Linked DNA regions of Xenopus tropicalis. The protein of the gene in region 2 interacts with the protein of the main gene of each other region in a biochemical or structural test. Links are inferred from orthologs where the notes say so. Each region holds a gene or a part of one and is shown on either strand. Other genes may lie near its edges.

The links. The genes of interacting proteins can lie anywhere in the genome.
Region 1: the proteins of zbtb16 (region 2) and hbegf form a complex in vitro, tested with the Homo sapiens proteins (2 studies listed by BioGRID). The link is inferred for Xenopus tropicalis from reciprocal best matches to the Homo sapiens genes ZBTB16 and HBEGF.

The regions. Positions count from the first base shown.
Region 1 is NC_030679.2:31,763,987-31,767,943, forward strand, and holds the start of hbegf (proheparin-binding EGF-like growth factor), read left to right. Parts: upstream 1-1,157; 5' UTR 1,158-1,374; coding exon 1,375-1,414; intron 1,415-1,689; coding exon 1,690-1,845; intron 1,846-3,957. UniProt on the Homo sapiens protein: Growth factor that mediates its effects via EGFR, ERBB2 and ERBB4. Required for normal cardiac valve formation and normal heart function. Promotes smooth muscle cell proliferation. May be involved in macrophage-mediated cellular proliferation.
Region 2 is NC_030683.2:85,590,315-85,593,814, forward strand, and holds part of zbtb16 (zinc finger and BTB domain-containing protein 16), read left to right. Parts: intron 1-1,240; coding exon 1,241-1,411; intron 1,412-3,500. UniProt on the Homo sapiens protein: Acts as a transcriptional repressor. Transcriptional repression may be mediated through recruitment of histone deacetylases to target promoters. May play a role in myeloid maturation and in the development and/or maintenance of other differentiated tissues.

The DNA of each region.
Region 1 (3,957 bases), on a different chromosome or scaffold from region 2:
AGAAGATTTTTTTGCAGGGGAATCCAAACTACTTAGTTACAAGGTACTGTTTTATTACAGAGGAAAAAGCAAATAATTTAAATTAGACTTATGTGCTTATAATACACAAGAGCCACACATATCCTGTTACTCATATCCTTATAAACGATTATTGCTTTTAGTTATAATTAGTGCTTAGGGATGTAATTTCTGTCACGACTCACTGAAACCTTTGTATTATAATAATGTACTCCCTGTTGTAAAATAGGAAGATATTAGCAGGGTCGGACTGGGGGTGAAGGGCCCAACGGGTCTCCCTCCCCAGGGGCCCTGCAGGTGCCCCCCTAACCCCTCTCGCAGGGCCCCCCACCCGACGTCCTCCCCCGAGCGTGTAAATTTAACGCATCAGGGGAGGAGCTGTCAGGCAGGGGGAGCGTCGGCAAAGGGTCAGGTCTGGGCCGCCAGGGCCCACTAGAGCAGGGGCCCACCCGGATTTTTCTCGGCCCAGTCCGACCCTGGATATTAGATGTCACCTTGGAGTTCCTTGACCTGTATAAAAGCTTTCGGCCTTTATATGGTCATGAAACTCCTCAGTGACTTATAATGTCCCTATGTTTTACAACAGTACATAATTTTCTATATAAGAGACTCTATAAGAGATGGTGTTCCTGTAAATTGGAGCTTTCTGGATAACAGGTTTCTGGATAAACATTTTTCTTGGCGTACCTTTGACACTTTTGGCATGCAGAAGTGGGCGGCTCAGAATAAATAGAGCATTTATATTTAGAAACATATTAGTCACATTTAATGAGCAATACAGACTGATGAACCTGTAGGAAATGTTTAGTTACACATGTAGAATGGGGCATCATACCCGAAACCCGACCACAACTTCCCCCCCAGACACCAACACAGCCAAGGATCCAGCCCAGGCATGAAAATAGCACCCAACCCATGTCTTCCTTCAGAATTAATCCGAATTAGAAATCATTCTTTAACGTATTAAACAAAAATACACCTTTGTACCCCGTACAGTTTTGTTTACAATGGAAGTCCGGTCGAACTTTTACTCGCATCACCGCCGAGTACCGCAAGGAAAAGTTATTTAGAGAATCAGGTTTGTTGGTTCTACCCCCAGCGGCGGCTTTAAAGCCTACACACGATGATGGTGCCGTGAGTAAGTTCTTAGTCAAGGAAGGGAGTGGCCGCCCATATTTTAAGCAAAGCATATGCCGCCCTACTGTGCCTCCCCGCAGCCAGTCCCACAGCGCGTCCATTCAGTGTGCGGGCCGACTCACTCAGCTGCATGGCCCCTACCGAGCGCTCTGCTCTCTCCCGTCTCTGTCCCGCCTGTGTCTCTCATTCACTCGCCCCCTGCGCTTCTCCTAACTGAACATGAACTTCATGAAACTTGCTCTGCTGCTTCTCCTGCAAGGTAAGCCATATTCTTTCCCTGACATTCTCTCCCCACTTTACGCGTTGAACCCAAAGGCTCAATGACTGCTCCCTATTTTTAGCTAATCCCATCCTATAAATGGCTGCTCTCGTACCGCTCGCAGAAATGCAGCTGCGCACGTTTATTCTAGGGAGGTGGCATCACTTCTCGTAGTGCAATGTATTTACTGAGGGGATATTTACATAACAGCAGAAAATGGCAATGCCATAATTCCCATTAGAGCTTGTGTAATGGGCTCCCGTTTTGTTTTGCAGTCTCCTATGTGTTTGTCTATGGAGCGGTGATAGGGGCGCATCAGAATGAAGTTTTCAGTAAAGCCACAAGCGACTTTGCACCGGCTGGGGAAAGTTTCCAGTATGAAGATAAAAGAGTGTTTACAGTAGGAAACCACATCGTTGCCTCGCCAAGGGGTAGGTGTGCCTCTTATTTGTGTTTGCCAATATGGCTAGCAGGGCTGTGCCACTAATGCACTGATTTGGGCAGTGGCATGGGCTCATGTTAAACAAAACTAAGCCTCTCTAAATCAACCAACTGGATAGAGGTTTTATACATGACCTTGGTGCTGAATGTGTCCTGCCATGTGTTCTAGGGTTATTATGTAAGAATTTGCCATTATATCCTGCAGTGCATTGTGGGGTATTATACATGGAACTGGCACAGTTGAATATTGGTCAAGTGTTCCCACATATTGTACCTGAAACCGGCACTGTATAGTTATCCTGACGTGTGTTCCCTCATATTGTACCTGAAACCGGTACTGTATAGTTATCCTGCCGTGTGTTCCCACATATTGTACCTGAAACTGGCACTGTATAATTATCCTGATGTGTGTTCCAGCACATTGTACCTGAAACCGGCACTGTATAGTTATCCTGACGTGTGTTCCGGCATATTGTACCTGAAACCGGCACTGTATAGTTATCCTGATGTGTGTTCCAGCACATTGTACCTGAAACCGGCACTGTATAGTTATCCTGACGTATGTTCCGGCACATTGTACCCGAAACCAGTACTGTATAGTTATCCTGCCATGTGTTCCGGCACATTGTACCTGAAACCGGCACTGTATAGTTATTTTGCCATATGTTCCAGCATATTGTACCTGAAACCCAGCACATTGAACCTGAAACCGGCACTGTATAGTTTTCTTGCCGTGTGTTCCGGCACATTGTATCTGAAACCGGCACTGTATAGTTATTTTGCCATGTGTTCCAGCATATTGTACATGAAACCCAGCACATTGTACCTGAAACCGGCACTGTATAGTTATCCTGCCGTGTGTTCCGGCACATTGTACCCGAAACTGGTACTGTATAGTTATCTTGCCATGTATGTATAATGTATAACTTTATTTAAAAAGCGCTACTTATGTACGCAGCACTGTACAGTAGAATACATTAATATAAACAGGGTTATTAAAATAGATAAATACAAAGTATTACAATAAGCACAAATAAATACAAGATACAGTTGCAATAAGTTAAGAGTCAAAGACACAAGAGGATGGAGGTCCCTGCCCCGTAGAGCTTACAATCTATATGTGTTCCAGCACATTGTACCTGAAACCGGCACTGTATAGTTATTCTTCTGTGTGTTCCGGCATATTGTACCTGAAACCTGCACTGTATAGTTATCCTGCCGTGTGTTCTGGCACATTGTACCTGAAACCCGGCACATTGTATCTGAAACCGGCACTGTATAGTTATTTTGCCATGTTTTCCGGCATATTGTACCTGAAACCCAGCACATTGTACCTGAAACCGGCACTGTATAGTTATCCTGCCGTGTGTTCCGGCACATTGTACCTGAAACCGGCACTGTATAGTTATCCTGCCGTGTGTTCTGGCATATTGTACCCAAAACCGGCACTGTATAGTTATATTGCCATGTGTTCCGGCACATTGTACCTGAGACCCAGCACATTGTACCTGAAACCCAGCACTGTATAGTTATCCTGCCGTGTGTTCCGGCATGTAGTACCTGAAACCGGCACTGTATAGTTATTTTGCCATGTGTTCCGGTATTTTATACCTGAAATCGACACACTATAATTATCCTGCCTTGTGTTTTAGTATATTATACCTCAACTAGGCACTACATTTATCCTACAAGGAATTCTGGGAGGTATTTTACATGAAATTGCCTTTATCCTACCTTTTGTAATGAGGTATTATATGTGGAATTTGCCCCTGGGATACTATGAAGGAATCTTTGTGGAAAATATCTTTAATTATCCTCCTCAGCCACAAAAACCACCCATACACCTATGGGCAGTGAGTTGCCCATCTGGATTTAATATCAGCCTGCATTTTGTAGGCAACTGGAGAGAAGTGCATCAGCTCACTTCCGCAGCTCTGTATAGTTGTAGTACCGATAGACACAGTGCAAGGGAGATTGGCCTGAAAATGCCTGCTTTTATGCCAATTTTTATTCTTAGTAGCCTCACTCAGTTGGGATCTGTTCATGTTGGTGTAGCTATACAGAGCTGCAGAAGAGAGCAGATGCAAAATGCAGGCTAAAAA
Region 2 (3,500 bases):
TATAGTTTTCTTGTGTTCTCTTATAACTATGTATAAATAATAAATACACAACATTTCATTATTTGCTTCTCCATTTACCTGTATTTTACCATTATTGCTGCTTAGTCTATAATAAAGTAAATGAGGTACAGTTATCTGTAATAATAAACAGCAGGCTATCATCATTATTCCCAGACGTTAAGACTTAGTGCTACTGTACAGAGTATTTTCTTTAATTATTGTGATTCTCTGTTAAATCTGATTGCACCATTGTGCCATTTCTTGGCAAATAGAGAAGAATATTATCATAAAATAATTGAAAAATGACTTATTGTACAAGTGTTACAAGAGAACAGGGCTTTTATTAGTCTATTAAATGTGTGCAGTTTGTCTTGGGTCACTCTGCATGATACCAAATTTTCAAAATGCTATCTTGCTGATGTGGCATTCTCTTACTCTTTATTATAATTACGTGTTATTATTATCATTATTATTATTCATTTGAAAATATTTTCCTTGAACACTGTGTTGGTGTGCCTTTTGCCATATAAAGAAGTGTGCCAAAAGGGGACATTATGTGCATGCCTTCCACATATGAAGGGCAAAAACCCACAAGGTGAATGAGTCCCCTTCTGTTGCCTGCAATGGCAATAAGCTGAAAAGTCATTGTCACTTGAAAACATGGCTGTGAGCTTTTGACTATCCATTGACTATCCATTGTACAATTGATCTTAGGCGAGTACCACAGTAAGCAGTGGGGGGGCGGGAGGGTTGCGATATGACTATGCCTTATACCCAAATGCCTATTCACCCAAATCATAACATATTAACTAATAATTTTACCATTTGCCACTAGGTGGGCCTTGTAGTCAAAAATAAATTTTCTGTTATAATCAAAAGCCCCAGACATCACTAAAACCAGCCACATTCCTATTACTCCCCTATGGCTTATGGGATATGTAGCATTTCTTTGCTGGGGTATTTTAGCAGAGAAACTCCTGATACCCCCCTCCCATACCTTCTGACATTTATTTGTATAGAAAATCCTCAGCTCTCTATCTATTTTTTTTTTGTATCCCAAAAATGTATAATACTTGCTTAGTTTTACTGAGCAGAGAGAAGAAATCTGGTTTAATCAGTAAGAAATGTCATGCAAGCTGCTTTGGCTGTATAGATGTATTTGAATATATAACTTGGACATGGACAATGGAGGGACCTAAGCAGACACAGCCATAATGTTTTTTTTCCTTGTGCATTTCAGGCTCAGACATGGCTGTGTTCTGTCTACTTTGTGGAAAGCGCTTTCAGACTCAGACTGCCCTGCAGCAGCACATGGAGGTCCATGCAGGAGTGAGAAGCTATATCTGCAGTGAGTGCAACAGGACTTTCCCCAGCCACACTGCACTCAAACGCCACCTACGCTCACACACAGGTAAGGAGGCCCTAAGAATATCGGCACCAAGGACAGCAGTGTCTGCTCTTGAAATACAGGGTAAAACAGTTTTAACAGTAGTTCAAATGTGGCAGCCATACTGAACAACACTATGTTGCTGATTCTGTTGCCATATATAAGGCATGAAGCCCCCATCCTTATATATAAATATTAACATGAACAAGGATGAGATTCAGCTAGAGAACACAGTGTAGTGTTTCAAATTTAACCTAATATGTCCTGTTATCACACTTGGGGTAATAGTGAATATGCACTTGGGTGCTGCTCATCCTTTGGCAGAACTGTGAAAGGTTTTGATTGGGACACAGATGAGGATGCTGGCCAGATCACCTGGAAACCTGTATATTGAAGTTGGGTGGCAGCATAGGGATGCTGTACATAGACACAGGAGAACTTAAGCAATGGTTTACTGCATTTCCTATTTATTTTCAGACAATATAATGTGACTAAAATCCCTTTATAAAGTGTTCAACTAAAACAAAAGATGATAGCAAGAAGTTTTTTTTAGATTCTTTCTCCAGGTTGTGTTGGCAATCTCAGCCCCAGTATCAGGTTGTTATTTATGATTCATAATAAGGCTTCTGCCGAAGAATAACAGTGTGTTGTGTGCTTGTGATACAGGGCAATCTATTTTAATATAACCCTACCTGTAGCATGTAGATGTGTCTGCAGGGACCTTTATTATTTTCTGTTCTCATCCACACCCCCTTCAGTTATTCGCTACAAACACAGCACTGATGTTAAATACATGTAAGTTATTCCTGGATCAATCAAGCTTCTTTTTTTTTTTTTATAATCACCATTGGCCAGTGGAGGACACATTAGTCTGGTGAGGATGGTAGGAGGTGTAATAGGAAGACAATTGATCCCCCCTTGTCTTGTGCTGCAGAGCGGCGCGTGCTTTCATTAATAATGCAGAAGGTGTCTTCAGCATGCGTGCCCAGTCTGTGTGCTTAACATCAGCAGCTGTGTTTGATAGCAAAGCCGCTGTCAGCCTCTTGGCATTGATTTAAAGGGGACTCTTAGTGTACCATACTCTCAGCTGTTGAATTGGGGTGAGACAGCAGTTAGCCACATGGGAAGTCCCAATATCTCACAATAGAATTGTTGTCTATTCAAAAGAATGAAAACTTCAGCTATAAAGATGTGCACATTTAAAGGAACAGATTTAAATGTACAGAAACGGACAGTGATGGCATAACCATCCCACCACTGAGGGTTTGTGCCCTTTTCCAGCCTTCCTGGCTTTTGAATAAGAATACATGTTGAATTCATGCGTGTCGGTACACACACAAGACCAGGAGGCTGGAAGCAGATAAAAGTGCTGTGTGTGGCACTGGCCTTAGCAATTTTTCTAATATACTGCATACCAAATAGATTGAATTTCTTTGAGAGATTTTCCTTTTGTGACAGATGTTACTCTATAAAGCACAATTGCTGCTGTCAGTCTTAAGTCTGGCCATGGCATAACTGCAAACACATATTACAGTAAACCTTTGGGTCCCCCACTCATTCACACTAAATGGTCTGGCTTTCAATTTTTGACCTGCTGCACATGGACAGCAGAAGTCGGCTTGTTTAGTTAGTCTGGACCCAGCAGATTGACCACCACTCCAAATGTTGGGCAGCAGCAAGCTTAGTAATGCACTCTTGAGTTACTGAAAGTGTTGTCAGTTATGACTGATTATCTTTTTCTCATAATTAATCTAGAATGCTTTAGGTGTCTATAGACTGGCTAAAGATGCTAAACATTGTAGTTTGGCTGCTTGCGAATTCCTGCTTTAGTTCTGTACAAAATAAATATGATGTTTCTCCGTTTGTAGGTTCTTTGCAGCTCATTTGCTGCCACCATCAAATCCTAACTCAACACACACACATTCCCACTTATGTATCAGTGCTTGGTGTCTATAAACTTGGTCTACCCTGGTCCTACCAATCAACCTTTCTATACTCGAAAACCCCTATTCCACATGATGTGAGAAACTGCACAGTTGGTAGTTATCAGCATACACTGCCATAAGACTGTCTACTGTATTGACAAGGCTGCTCTTATCATCCCTACAGAATA